Macaca mulatta: one gene and its partner. The protein of the gene in region 1 interacts with the protein of each later gene in a pairwise test. Links are inferred from orthologs where the notes say so. Each region holds a gene or a part of one and is shown in the gene's direction. Other genes may lie near its edges.

Evidence for each region. The genes of interacting proteins can lie anywhere in the genome.
Region 2: the proteins of TOX4 (region 1) and FNDC3B interact in binary tests that used the Homo sapiens proteins (3 or more experiments, as listed by UniProt). The two-hybrid records come from large-scale screens. The link is inferred for Macaca mulatta from reciprocal best matches to the Homo sapiens genes TOX4 and FNDC3B.

The regions. Positions count from the first base shown.
Region 1 is NC_133412.1:94,336,306-94,343,755, forward strand, and holds the start of TOX4 (TOX high mobility group box family member 4), read left to right. Parts: upstream 1-3,034; 5' UTR 3,035-3,073; coding exon 3,074-3,079; intron 3,080-3,290; coding exon 3,291-3,359; intron 3,360-7,450. Other genes in the region: RAB2B (ras-related protein Rab-2B), read right to left, coding at 659-726, 2,329-2,400, 2,630-2,675. UniProt on the Homo sapiens protein: Transcription factor that modulates cell fate reprogramming from the somatic state to the pluripotent and neuronal fate. In liver, controls the expression of hormone-regulated gluconeogenic genes such as G6PC1 and PCK1.
Region 2 is NC_133407.1:83,729,475-83,737,253, forward strand, and holds the start of FNDC3B (fibronectin type III domain-containing protein 3B), read left to right. Parts: upstream 1-2,856; 5' UTR 2,857-3,058; intron 3,059-3,539; exon of another isoform or gene 3,540-3,916; intron 3,917-4,715; exon of another isoform or gene 4,716-5,242; intron 5,243-7,779. UniProt on the Homo sapiens protein: May be a positive regulator of adipogenesis.

The DNA.
Region 1 (7,450 bases):
GTAATGATTCCCTTGCTAGAGTAGCAACCAAGACGGGGAAGGAGAAAGCGTTTATGTATAAAAAGGAGACATTTATTTTCCATGCTATAAATTTATAGTTTGATTTTATTTTTACTAGAATAAACTAATATATTACTTGGACAGTTTACAACACAAAGATATAGCATCCAGAATTTGTAACTGTAACAGATAGAATTAAAAGCTTCTCTATCTCGGCCGGGCGCGGTGGCTCAAGCCTGTAATCCCAGCACTTTGGGAGGCCGAGATGGGTGGATCACGAGGTCAGGAGATCGAGACCATCCTGGCTAACACGGTGAAACCCCGTCTCTACTAAAAAATACAAAAAACTAGCCGGGCGAAGTGGCTGGCGCCTGTAGTCCCAGCTACTTGGGAGGCTGAGGCAGGAGAATGGCGTGAACCCGGGAGGCGGAGCTTGCAGTGAGCTGAGATCCGGCCACTGCACTCCAGCCTGGGCGACAGAGCATGACTCCATCTCAAAAAAAAAAAAAAAAAAAAAAGCTTCTCTATCTCTTTGATTTCACCTTTCCCCTATTTTATCCCCACTATTAGTCCCACCCTCATTGCCCCTTTCCTTTGCATTGGCTTTTCTTACTATACTTGGATGTTGGTCAGAGACTAAATTATTTTGTACTCTCACCGTATCCCAGATTTGCAGTTTGATTTGTTTTCCATCAATGTTGACCATACGAGCTCCAAACTCCACACCTGTTGGTAAAGACCAAGAGAAAGAATGTGATTCTCATGAACAGCAGCCATGTGGAGTGGGAGGAGGTTCCTGCCTTTCCTCAATGTGTTATACCCATCCTTTAGTCTGAACTCAATGCCACTAATTCCATTATTGCTGCCTATTTGCTCCAATTAACTTTGTGTTTCTCAAGGTTCTTCATTTCCCTTCCGGAATTAAAAAATTGTGCTCTAATGACCTCAGGAATGTAACCAAAAAGCACATATGGGAAAACAAAACCAATTAAGAAGTCAAATTTAAAAGGGTAATTTTTTAGCAATGTCAGTTAATGCTTAAATTTGATTAGGTAACATTTAGTTTTGTAACTTTTCCAAAAAACTCCTAAAAATTCTGGAAATGCTTCCTGACACTTTCTCGGTCACTCTCTAGTCTCTATTTAAAACAATATTTATTTTTTTGTAATTCCAGATTTTTTTCTTTAAGAAAAGAGCCTAAGAAATAGGTTCTCAGAAACAATACTTTTTTTTTTTTTTTTTTTGAGATGGAGTCTCTTGCTTTGTCACCCAGTCTGGAGTGCAGTGGTGCGATCTCGGCTCACTACTGCCTCCACCTCCCGAGTTCAAGTGATTCTCCTGCCTCAGCCTCCCCAGTATGTACCTTACAGGCGCACGCCACAACGCCCACCTAATTTTTTTTAACAATACATTTTATATCTCCAATAATTGCCAGAGGAACAATTAAGCATTGTTGCCTTGTTAAGCATTGTATCATTAGCCCCTATCACAAAGTAAGAATTCACTCAATATTCCCTTTAAAATACCTTTTGGTTGATACTGCCTTCTAAATCCTTTTCTAACCCCATCAATTATTTGACTCTAAATAAATCCGTTAGAACAGTGGTAGCTTCAGATTTCCACACAGGTGTGACTTGGAAGTAGCAATATTGTAAGAATGGGGATGTAGGAGTTTTATTTAGAAACTGCATTTGCATGGCAACAAAGCTAGTTTCATATATGTTGTTTATTTGGACTGGGGTTATGGAGATAATGAAGAGGGGGTAGCTAAAAGCCCCTTCAGGCTATGCCTTATCACAAATGTGTGGGAAATGTTAATATTTTCCAGGATCCCCAGTGGGTATGAGGAACTGTTTAACACACTGTTTTATTTAAAAGGAAAGTTTTTAGTTTTATTTGCCTATTAATTCTAAGGCAGGGATGACTCTTCAATTTGCTTCTTCACCAATATAAAAAATGTCCATGTATTGGTGTTTACTTTTTAAAAGTAAGGCTGGTATTAATTTACTGCAAAGCACAGATGAGTTTACAAATAAGCAGTTATGCTTTCGTGGGATTTTCCATAAACATAAAAAATTGTACTTGAAAAAAATTATATGACAAGTCTCTACCTCACACTCCAAAAAGTTACCTTTCAATTATATACTCTCCCTTACACTACTCGCCACATATCAACGTTTGATTAACCACTTCATTAACATAACTTTGGACTAGTTTAAAGTAGTGAGGGATAACTTTTTACTTTGAACACTGAAGGCTGCTAACTTTCCACTTTAGCAATTTAGCTAGTCAGGTTTTATCTGTTCTGGAACAAGTAGATGCACTTACCTATTGTGAGGTCGTGGACAGGCTGGAACCGCTTATCTGTAAACTGCAGGAGGAGACATGACTTCCCCACACCTGAAAGAGAAAACACGCTCCCAGAGTCACGTAGCGTTGGAACACTACCCGGACTCTGGACTTCCCGGACCAGAGAAGCGGGGGGTCCCCGAGCCCCGCCCCTGGCCGCCCCGAACCGCCCCGCCCGTCTCGAATCGCCCAGCCCACAAAGTGAGCCCCGCCCCCGCCACCCAATTTGGGAGCTTCGGACGTCCGCCCCAGCCTTGAAGGCGAACAACCTGAGGGTTACCTGTGTCTCCGATGATGATATACTTGAAGAGATAAGCATAAGTCATGATGTCGCGTCCTCTGGGTTCCGGGTCCGCCCGACTTCTACAGCCACTTACCTCCAACCTCTCTAGCCACTCAATCTACCGATCTTCTTCTTCCCGGCCGCCCACCCTCTCCGGCTCCTCTAGCCCAGATCACGTCTCTATTGCTCTCCCCAGAAATCCTCCTTAGGTCGGGAGTACCCAACGCCACCTCCAGGGATACCTCTAGTACTTCTACATGCCATTATCCCTCCAAGCTCCAGGGGGCGATAGGCCACCGCCTGACTCGCTGCAGCCCCCACGGCGCTCCTTCCAATGAGCAGAGAGTAACGCACGTCCTTGCGGAAGTGACGGCAGTTCCGAGACCAGTGGGGGCGGTGGGAGCGATGAGGGTCTGAGACGGTGGGAGCGGTTGTGTGAAGATGGAGGTAGGAACCTGATAGCTAAGAAGGCTGGCGAGAGAACGCGGCCGACCGGGTTGAAGCAGAGACGGGAAGCCGGGTGGAGAGGCGACTGACGGGAGAGGAGAGAGCGCGGGGTTTGGGGAGTGTTGTCAGAATGTCGGGGTCAGAAGCCATCGCTCCAAGCTAATTCCCTGCTCCCCCTAACTTATCCCCGCGGCTTTCTTTTGGTTTCCAGTTTCCCGGAGGAAATGACAATTACCTGACTATCACAGGGCCTTCGCACCCCTTCCTGTCAGGGGCCGAGGTGAGCACGAGCTGCCGACGCCGCGGGGGGAGGGCCTGAGGCCGCGGTGGGGTAGGGTGGTGGGGAGGAGAGCACGCACTCCAGGGACGGGGGCTGGGAACCAAGGGCTGCAATTGGTGTTTAGAGAAAAGTGGCAGCTGCTTCTAGAGCCTATGGGGACTATCTGGGGAAGTCTTGGGAAGTTGCTGTCATCAGAAAAGCAAGCTATTGGAAAGAGATAACCTATTTAAAGAGAAAAGTGATTCTGGATTAGAAGACAGTGAAATTGTCTCCTTTTTCTGGGGAGAAATAACTACAGTAATCTTAAAGGATCGCAGTGGGAAGAAAATTTTTCAGCAGCTGAAGAAACTGGGGTGAGGGGAGGAGCTTACCTAGCAGAGGGTTGACCGTGGAACAGCATGTGTTCATTCCTGTAACGAACTCTGTTGAAGGGGTCTTTTTAAATTTGTTTCATTTATATTTCCTACTGGTTTTGTTTTGTTTTGAGACAGAGTCTCGCTTTGTCGCCCAGGCTGGAGTGCAGTGGTGCGATGTCGGCTCACTGCAACCTCCGCCTCCCGGGTTCAAGCGATTCTTCTGCCTCAGCCTCCCGAGTAGCTGGGATTACAGGCGTGTGCCACCATGCCCGGCTAATTTTGTATCTTTAGTAGAGATATAGTTTCACCATATTGGCCAGGCTGGTCTCAAACTCCTGACCTCAGGTGATCCACCCACGTCGGCCTCCCAAAGTGCTGGAATTACAGGCCTGAGCCACTGCGCCTGGCCTAAATTTACTACTTTAATAAAAAGTTTGTGGTTACCTTTACCTACACAGTGTCGGCTTGTTTTGCTAATGCCAGGAAGAAAGGAAATAGCTGCTAGAGAACATAAAAAGAGTTGAGTAGGATATGTGTTTCAGTTTTTCTGTGACTCAGACGTTGGGCACATTACTTCATCGTTGTATGTCATAGTTTCCCCAACTGTCAAACAGCTGTAATAATAGCTTCTTATGCTGTTTTATAGTAGAAGTAAAGGTTGTGATGAAACCCTAAAGTATTTGTTAAAAAAATCTGGTTGAGCCGGGCGCGGTGGCTCATGCCTGTAATCCCAGCACTTTGGGAGGCCGAGGCAGGTGGATCACCTGAGGTCGGGAGTTCAAGACCAGCCTGACCAACATGGAGAAACCGCGTCTCTACTAAAAATACAAAATTAGCCGGGGTGGTGGCGCATGCCTGTAATCCCAGCTACTCGGGAGGCTGAGGCAGGAGAATCGCTTGATCCCGGGAGGCGGAGGTTGTGGTGAGCCGAGATCGCGCCATTGCACTCCAGCCTGGGCAAAAAGAGGGAAACTTTGTCTCAAAAAAAAAAAAAAAAAAAAAAATTCTGGTTGAAATATTGTCATAATATAGATACGTATCACTTGTTTAGGAGAAGCAAAAGAGAACGGTGGAACAGACAAAAATTTCTGTCTTTGAGAAACTGAAGTCTTGAACCACGTGCCATTTTTTGAGGACTTTTAAATTTATTTTCAAAAGTGGTGTGGACCATTTGCATCAGTTTTTTGTACCAAGAATTGTCAGTGGCTGTCGCATGCGCTTATCCTATAATCCTAACGTTTTCATGGATGAAAATGGGGTTGACAAGGGGTAGTTGCTAGTTTAACTTTTTTTTCTTTTTTTGTCGGGGGGAGGTGACAGTCTCCCTGTAGCCCAGGCTGCAGTGCCGTGGCACGATCTTGGCTCACTGCAGCCTCCACCTCCTGGGCTGAAGTGATTCTTCTGCCTCAGCCTCCCAAGTAGCTGGGAGTACAGGTGTGCGCCACCACACCCAGCTAATTTTTTTTCTTTTTTCTTTTTCTTTTTGTATTTTAGTAGAGACAGGGTTTCATCATGTTGCCCAGGCTGGTCTTGAACTCCTGGCCTCAAGTGATCTGTCCACCTCAGCCTCCCAAAGTGCTAGGATTATAGGCATAAGCCACCATGCCCGGCGCCAGTTTAACTTTTTTGTTGCTTTATTAGTCTTATAAGCAGGGTAAGTGTGAATCTAGTATGTGGCAAACTTAGAAATGATATAAAACCTAAATCTGGACCCAGCACAGTGGCTCATGCCACTAATCCGAACTGTTTGGGAGGCTGAGGTGGGAGAATTGCTTGAGCCCAAGAGTTCTAGACCAGGTTGGGCAACGTGATCAAACTCCGTCTCTATAAAAAATAGTAATAATTAATTTAAAAAAAACAGCTGAGGCCGGGCGTGGTGGCTCATGCCTGTAATCCCAGCACTTTGGGAGGCCAAGGTGGGCGGATCACGAGGTCAGGAGTTCAAGACCAGCCTGACCAACATGTGAAACCCCATCTCTACCAAAAATACAAAAATCAGCCAGGCGTGGTGGTGCGCACCTGTAATCCCAGCTACTCAGGGGACTGAGGCAGGAGAATCACTTGAACCCGGGAAGCAGAGTTTGCAGTGAGCCAGGATCGCACCATTGTACTCCAGCTTGGGTGAACAAGTGAGACTCCGTCTCAAAACAAAAACAGCTAAAATGTGCTTGGTGCTTTGCACTCTCAGTTGCCAGTTTCTTCGAGTGAGATCTCCATTTTGAAATTTAATTATTTGAGTGTTGCAAATCTCATATTGGACTTACCTGCATGAAATTCCCAATTTCTCCTCAATCAGGTCTCCACAGTTTAAATTTTGTTATTTAGAGTGTTATAAATTTGACTTTGGCCTCATTCATGTGAAAGTGCATTTTAAAATGAAATACAAGTAGCTTTTAAGTTTACCCACTGTTCTTAATTCTCTACCCTGTTTATGAAATTGAATAATCAAGAGGTAACCACATTAAAAAAGTGGTTCCTTTTTGTTTTTGCTTTTGTGTTTGATAGAGACAGGATCTCACCATGTTGTCCAGGCTGGTCTCAAATTCCTAGGCTCAAGCGATCCTCCCACCTCAGCCTTCCAAAGTGCTAGGATTATAGGTGTGAGCCACCATGCCTGGCCCGAAGTGGTTCCTTTTTATGTCAAGAAACCTCCCATGAAGAATCATGGTGTATAGTGAAGAAAAGTAAATTTAAAGTATTAATAAGTAATATTATAATGAAAAAGAAAGAAACTTTCCAAGTTCAGTCTGTCCTTTGTTTTTGTTTTTGGGACTTAAGAAATCTTATTTTATTTTGCCAAGAAGCTGATAGCTAAGTTTTAGTCTCAATTTCAGTAGCTTCCTTTTGCCTGAGGCTCCTGTCATTGTTAACAGTTCTCCATTTTCTCATTACAACTTCTATACCTTCCCTTTCCCTTGGTAGTGGTGGTAATGATTGTTTTATAACTTATTTTAATGGGGTTATGGTTTTATTGTGAGCCATCCCAAATAGATCTTAGAAGTAGGTAAAGGTAACATTAAAAAAAATTGTTTTTACAAGAGAGGAAATTTTTAGAGTTTGCTGACCCTCCCTGAAAAAAGTAGTTGCCCATAAAAAGTACTAAACATTTAAAAAATGAATAATTGGTCTCCACTGTAATTAGGAACTTCTTTTCATCAAAAAACATGATTTCATAACAAATAGGCATTCCACAGACTGGGAGAAGATATTTACAATACATATATATATCTAACTCATATTCAGAATATATCAAGTATTTCTGCAGAGTAAAAGAAAGAATCCAATTTAAAAGGAAGCAAAGGCCAGGCGTGGTGGCTCATGCCTGTAATTCCAGCACTTTGGGAGGCTGAGGTGAGTGGATCACCTGAGGTCTGGAGTTCAAGACCAGCCCGAGCGACATGGAGAAACCCCGTCTCCTAAAAATACAAAATAAGCTGGGCGTGGCAGCGCATGCCTGTAATCCTAGCTACTCGGGAGGCTGAGGCAGGAGAATCACTTGAACCTGGGACGTGGAAGTTGTGGTAAGCTGAGATTGCACCATTGCACTCCAGCCTGGGCAACAAGAGTGAAACTCCGTCTCAAAAAAATAAAATAAAAGGAGGCAAAAGATTTGAACAGTCACTTCACAAAAGAAGATGTCCAAATTGCCAGTAAGAGTTGGCAAGGATGTGGATAACTCTTTTGTTTTTTTCTTTGTTTGTTTGTTTGTTTGTTTTGAGATAGTCTTGCTCTGTC
Region 2 (7,779 bases), on another chromosome or scaffold:
TTGCCTTAGGTTGAGGTCCTTCTTCCTATTCCCAGAACCATGACTCTGGTGTAAGTTTCATCATTTCCAAAGTAGGTTCAGGGCATGCATCTCTGACATGAACCTTGTTCTACATCCTGCTGCTAAGATAACCTTGAAACCTATTTCAATTACTTCATGCCTCAATAATCCCACAGTATTCTCACTGTATTAAATTGAAATCCCTCAAAGTGTAGGTGAGAGCCCTCTATCACAAATTCCACCTTCTTCTCTGAAGCTTCCAATTCTGTCCTATTAATTCTTTTAAGAAAGATATCTTTATTAATTCATTTACTCATTTGTTCATTAATTCAAGGAGTAACCAATATTTATTTACTGAGTACCAGGTGCTTGAGTTTTTTATACAACCTTGGCCAGAGGTTTATTAAAGATCACAATTTAACAAATAAGAAAATTCAGGTACAGAGAACTTTATGCCCAACATCACTGACTTTTCTCTCATTATATTCTATACTCTCTCCACTGTACCATACTTCCTCTCATTTTGCAAACATTTAATGGGCTTATTTTCTGTGCCAAAACTGGTGTTAGGTGTTAGGGCAAAGAAGATGAATGAAACACTATCATATATGAACATGCATGTGAAATTATAAAGCATCATATGTACATTGATTTCTTTTCTTCCTAATAAGAAGAAATTCAATCTAGTGGAAGAAACAGGAATAAATAAATTTGTCCTCCAAATTTCTCTTGCCTACTTTTACCTCCTCTGCCAAGCTTGTCCTTCAACCTGAATTTGACCTTTCACACTCTGAAGTTTGCTCACTGACCTAGTCATTCAGATTCTTCTGCATACTTTACAATTAATTCATTCATCAAACATAAGGGGGTCTTCTATTCGAAGCAGAATTCTAGGTTGATACTAGGGATACAAACATGAACAAAACTCAGTCAAGTGGAAGAGATAAAGAATAATTTCAGGCTGGGTGCAGTGGCTCATGCCTGTAATCCCAGCACTTTGGGAGCCTGGGGCAGGAGGATTGCTTGAGTTCAGGAGTCTGAGACCAGCCTCAGCATCAAAGTGGGAGCCTGTCTCTTTGAAAAACAAACAAAAAAAAATTAGCCAGGTGTGATGGCACACACTTGTAGTTCCAGCTACTTGGGAGGCTGAGGTGGGAGAATTACTTGAGCCTAGGAGCTTGACCATGCAGTGAGCTGCTATCGTGCTACTGCTCTCTAGCCTCAAAAACACAAAAACAAAAACAAAAAACAAAAAAACAAAAAACAAACAAACAAACAAAAAACTAACTTCAGAGCAATGTGAGAACTGACAAGGATTGTAAGATCGTGGGGAAAAGAGGTATGAGATTGTAGGGAGGAAATGAGGTAGTGGTCTTAGCCGGAGATCAAGAAGGAGTAAATGATCTTAAATAGGGAAGAAGTATATTTCAGACGGAAGGCACATACAAAGGGACACAGGTACCTTCTGGAGCCATGAGTGATGAGCTGTGCTGAAGGCATGGCACCTGAGGAAGCCAAAGAGTCCGGAGTCAGAGAAGGCATTTGGATGCAAATGAGATCTATTGGACTGTACACTATTGGCACTAAGGAACTACTGCCTTTCCCCCCACCCTTCTCATACAGGACTATAACCCAGAATTGTGTTATAGAAGGAGTTGTATTATAGAAGGAGTTGTGTTATAGAAGGATTGCTTCAAGTTCCCCTTTGAGGAGCTCCACAGGAAATAAGCCATTTAGGAGACAGGTCCCCATTTCTCTGGGCTCACCATTGCTTCCAAGAAAAAAAAAAAAATCCCCCAAAGAATGGCAAATTGTACAAGGGAAGGAGCTATTTCTCAGTGTTCTTTAGACTTAATAGAGTATTATGTACTGTTATTATTTTTTTTAGGTTGACAAAAGTAATACATTGTCTCTGGTGACTCCCTGAATGCTCCTTTGTAGCTTAATAGTTGAGGCTGATATTCAGAATACCTGGACAGCTATGGATGGCAGGGGCTTCTCTAGGCTAACTTTAGCTCTCTTGTCTCCTGAATAATTTGAGGGGTGGCAAGGGATGCAGTCTGTTAACCTCTTTGAGACTGTACAACAGAAATACATTACATTTGACTTAATATAAACTCAACAGTTATTTAATGAGTCCTATTGTGGTCCTTGTCCTTTACAGATACAAAGATAAAAGTAAGCAACAGTCTCTATCCTTGAGAAACGCATTGGGAAATAAGGCTGGCTGACGTGGCTCACGCCTGTAATCTCAACATTTTGGGAGGCCGAGGCGGGAGGATCACCTGAGTTCCAGAGTTCCAGACCAGCCTGGGCAACCTATTGAGACCCCCTCTCTATTCTCCCCCCCCCCAGAAAAAAAAGGGTGTGGTGGCTCATGCTTGCCCAGTGCCTGCGGTCCCCAAAACAACAAAATACAAAACAAAAGGAAGAAAGAGGAAGTAGAGATTTTAACTTAAGTGTAATAAAATTTGCTCATACTATGTTAGCTGTATGAACAAAATGCTGTGGGAAATAGGCGAGTAATATAGCTCACAAGGTTGCTGTGGGGGTTAACAACAAAAAGGGAAATATATGTGTAAATGAAAAAAAGTCAGTCTTAGGCTTAATTATCACTGAGTAAACATTGCCTTTACATTATTTTGGCGATCTGGAGAACCGGCAGCCCTCGCCATTCAGGAGTTGTTAGCTCCCTAAGCGTCAGGTTTCTTTAGTCTGGCTGAACCAAAAGGAGTTTCTGCTTAGCTAGGCAGGGCCGGGGACAACAGCTTCTGCGAGCCTGCGATTGTGGCGGCAGGTATACTCGGCGGTTTACGGTAGTGGGCGGGCCCCAAATCCCCATGTGGTCCCGACATCATTGACATGGCGGAATCCCCCATCAAACCCTCCTGGTAGTTATTTGAGCGGCGGCGGCGGCGGCGGCGGCTGGAGGAGGAGGAGAGCGGCGGCGGCGGGAGCAGCAAGGGGGCGTCAGGAATCCTTTGGGCTGCCGGCTGGGAAGGCGTGGGCGACCCGGTGTGTGGTGCGCCCGGAGCCCCGCGTTTCAGCCCTAGGGAAGGTAAGGCGTGCAGGAGCCGGGAACTGGAGGAGACCCGGACCCCACGCGCAATCGCCGGGTCCGGTGCACTGGAAAGCCCCGGCCTGATGCCGAGTCCGCCAAAGTGCGTCCCTGTCCCGGGAGCGCCCTGGGCTTCCCGGCAAAAACTTGGCGCCGGAGTGCTGGGGCGCCCCGCGCTCGCCTGGGCACCCCGGGAACACGGGACCCGGGAGGGGGCGGCCCCCGCCTTTCTGGGATCGGGTTCCCCGCCTGTGCTGCCTGCCTCAGGGTTTGCAGGAGTGAAAGAAACGGGTAGATTCCTCTTAAAAAAAAAAATTGGGGCAGTGGCTCGCGGCCTCCCCCCACCCCCAGCCTTCCCAGCAGATTTTGTCCGAGGAATCCGCTCCCCCTCCCGGAATCTCCGCGGCAGGAACGCTGCCCAGGAGGGGGAGGGCGGGCGGCGAGGCCGAGGAATCTTCGACGTGTCACTTTCTGAGGCTGTAGATTTCCATATGGTGGAGGAAAGAGGGCGGGTGTGCGAAGTGGGGCTGGAAGTTGGGGCCGCCTCTCCGCGCCGGCGGGGGCAGTCGGGGGCCTCGAACCCGGGGATGCTCTCGGGGAGGGTCCCGAGCCCGCGCCGGCCTGGCTCCCCCGCCCCCGGCTGGGCCTCTCCGGGACACTCCCCGCCCCGCTGCTGGCCACCTCCGAGCGCGCCACGTCCTCCCTCCCCGTCCTGCCCCCCGGGCTCCCCCCGGGCTGGGGGCGGTAACCGGCGGCCGCGGCCGGACTTGGCGAGCCTGGCGGCTGGAAGCTCGGGCGGGGGAGCGGGGCGCGGCGGGAAGGAGCGGGCGACCCGGTGTGTGGGCCAGCGGAGCTCCGGTCAGTCCGTCACCCCGAGGGGCGCCTCGGCCGGGGGTGGGGCGGGCGGGCGGAATCTGCTCCCCGAGGCGGCCAGGAGAGGCCGCGCGGACCGTCTGGTGCCCGCGGCTGGGCTGGGGCCGGCAGGCGTGGGAAGGGCCTGTCACTCTCGGCAGAAAGTGGGGCCTCGGGCTGTGCCCGCGAACTTTCCCAGAGGTCCGGGTCCTGGCGTCCCGTGGGAGCCAGAGGACCCGGACCCGCCGTCTCGGGAGACTGGGCTGTGCCGCCCGGCGGCGCCTTTGGCGGGGAGGCTTCCAGGAGTGCGCGGTCGGAGTTGGAGCTTTTGGAATCTCAGCTCCCACCCTGCCATCCCAGACGAAGGGAAGCAATGGCATTTTATTCAGACATTGCCGTTTGCAGACTTCCTTAAAAGTTATAACTTTTTATTTTCTTTTCTCCTCGACTCAGCATTTTCTTTAAACAAAATTTAGAATTTGGCCGCAATGGGTCAACGCTGGGGCCAAAAATCCACAGGTTTATCTCTCCATCCCTGCTGGTTTCTAGTCCCCCTCCCCCTCTTCCCTCCCAGGCTTAATCATATTTTGGAACGGGTGAGGTCTTTTGTTGGGTGGGCACCTCCTGATTGCTTGTCTGTTTATTTTTTAATGTGCAACTAATTTGATTTGAATTTCCTCCAGTTTCCAGGCCTTCCTAGGGAAAGCTAAGGGAGAGGGAATATGCTTTTTAAAATCGTTTTCTTTCTTTCTCCTTCTCTCTCTTTCCTTCCTTCTCCCTCCCTCCCTCCCTCCCTCCCTCCCTCCCTCCCTTCCTTCCTTCCTTCCTTCCTTCCTTCCTTCCTTCCTTCCTTCCTTCCTTCCTTCCTTCTCCTCCTCCTTGTTCTTCTTTTTTTTTTTTTTTTTTTTTAAATAAATGTGGCAGGAGGTGGGGCATTGAGAATGGGGAGGCACGGTGGTTGTGGGCAAAGAGTCAGAAGGAGCAGACAGACCCGGAAGAAAAGGAATCTGCTCTGGAATAATACTTTTTTTTTGGAGGCTTCAGGCCTTGGGCAAAATTGCTTCGCTCTGTAATGATTTCTGCTGCCGGAGTTGCTCCTCCACCCCTAAGTTAAAGCTGTGACCCTAGGTGCCTGGGCAACGCCCCACAGTGGATAGCAGCCGGGAGCGCTGGTTTTGTGCCTTTTGTGGGGGCCCTTGGTTCCCCCTCATTGGAGGCTGACTCTGAAATTTACTGGATCAGTAAATTTCCTGGCTCCCTGGGAGCAGCTGTTAACGAGGATAAAGTCTTTGGGCATGTTTCTGGCCCTGCGAAAGGACCTCACCCATGAAGGTACAATTCTCACTTTGTTTAGATACCAGAGGGGCACCCACAGGCTGACTGAGAATGAGGCATAGTTGATTAAAAAAAAAAAAATCAGTCATTACAAAATTGTTTTTAAACTCACGTGCTTTTAAAGTGTTGTGGTTTAAATGACTTTAAGATAAAAAAAAATTCATCTGTAAAGATAGTGTTCATTTAAAAGATGTTAAAACTGCAGGATCTCATCATGAAATAGGAGGTTGTAGCTTCTAATTACAGTATACACAATTTCAGAAAGATATTCCGGTAATCTTTTAAGACAGACTTTATAAATAGCGCACATCAGACGATGGGTTATATTGGAGAGCCAGTCTTCTGGGGTTTCTTGAAGAATGCTTGGGATCTGTGAGGAAGCTCTAGGCTCTTGGAGCCTAGGTAACAGTTTACTCAGTAGGAGTTTGTGCTCCTTTTGCTCAATACTTTATTTAACCTGGTAGCATTTGATTGATAGGTTCATTAGAAGCTAACTAGAAGAATTTCCCACACTTGTCAGTTTGGAAAATGAGGCCCCGGAAGGGAAAGTGACTTGTCGAGGGTCACCATTATAGACGAAAGTTTAATACAGGATTGTGTTAATAGCTCCTTTCTGGGGTATCTGATGTGTACTAAGCACTAATTCCTGTGCTTTTATACATTATCTCATTAAAATTCGAATAGTCTTTCGATTTAGGTTGTGTTATGCACTCTTTACAAATAAGGGCATTGAGATTTACAGAAATTAAGTAACTTGCATAAGATCACGTAGCTACCAACGGTGTCATCCAATGGAATTTTCTTAAGTGTTGGAAATGGTTCTGTCTGTGCTGTCCAGTTTAGCAGCCACAAGGCACATATAACTGTCTTTGAAATGTAACTAGTGGACTGAGAAACAACAGTTTAATTATTTTTTTTGGAATGGAGTCTCGCTCTGTCGCCTAGGCTAGAGTGAGTGCAGTGGCGCAATCTCGGCTCACTGCCACCTCTGCCTGGCGAGTTGACATGGATTCTCGCTCTGTGTCCCAGGCTGCAGTGCAGTGGCGCCATCTCGGCTAACTGCAGCCTCCGCCTCCCGGGTTCAAGCGATTCTCCTGCCTCAGCCTCCCGAGTAGCTGGGATTACAGGCGCCTGCCACCATGCCCGGCTAATTTTTATATTTTTTAGCAGAGACGGGTTTTCACCGTGTTAGCCAGGCCGGTCATGAACTCCTGACTTCAGGTGATCCACCCGCCTCGGGCTCCCAGAGTGCTGGAATTACAGGCGTGAGCCACCGCACCCGGCCTAAGTTTTATTTACTTGTAATTTCCACTTGTGGCTAGTGGTTACCATATTGGAGAGCAAAGTGTAGAACTTTTTGACTCCCAAATCTTTCACATGTAGCTTGGTCATATTGCTCTTTATTTTACTTTGAGACAGAGTCTCCTTCTGTTACCCAGGCTGGAGTGCAGTGGCATGATCATGGCTCACTGTAGCCTCCACTTCCCAGGCTGAAGTGATCCTCTCACCTTAGCCTCTCCAGTAGCTGGGACTACAGGTGTGCACGCTACCATGCCAGGATATTTATTATTATTATTATTATTATTATTATTTTTTTTTTGTAGAGACAGGTCTCACTATGTTGTCCAGGCTGCATACTGCTCTTCAGATCTCTTAGTTCATTTTTCTTTCTTCTATGATATCAGAAGTTACATTCAGCCCTTAAATGGAACTTAAAGACCGACTTAGCTATAGCTCAACTTTGCTTTCCTATGTAGAGTGGATAAAATATGCATATTATTTGTTAACTATTTGGTTTTATTTATTTATTTATTTATTTTTATTATTATTTTTAAAATTTATTTATTATTATTATACTTTAAGTTGTAGGGTACATGTGCATAACATGCAGGTTTGTTACATATGTATACTTGTGCCATGCTGGTGTGCTGCACCCATCAACTCGTCATTTACATCAGGTATAACTACCAATGCAATCCCTCCCCCCTCCCCCCAACTATTTGGTTTTAAAAACAATGCTTACATGTCATAGTTAAAGCTGGTGGGAAGCCGGGCGCGGTGGCTCACGCCTGTAATCCCAGCACTTTGGGAGGCCGAGGCGGGCGGATCACAAGGTCAGGAGATCGAGACCACGGTGAAACCCCGTTTCTACTAAAAATACAAAAAATTAGCCGGGCGCGGTGGCGGGCGCCTGTAGTCCCAGCTACTCAGGAGGCTGAGGCAGGAGAATGGCGTGAACCCGGGAGGCGGAGCTTGCAGTGAGCCGAGATTGCGCCACTGCACTCCAGCCTGGGCGACAGAGCGAGACTCTGTCTCAAAAAAAAAAAAAAAAAAAAAAAAAAAAAAAAAGCTGGTGGGAAAAACTTTAAATGACATGTTCTTTTTTGTTTTAATATAGGAATTGTACATAGGAATTGCTGAAAAAGTAGTCAGAGCTTGTTGGTTATTTTAGTGTAATAAAAGAGTACAAATAGGAAACAATATGAAAAGTCAGTAATAGAAAGTTGAAAAAAATGATCCTCTCATACCCATGT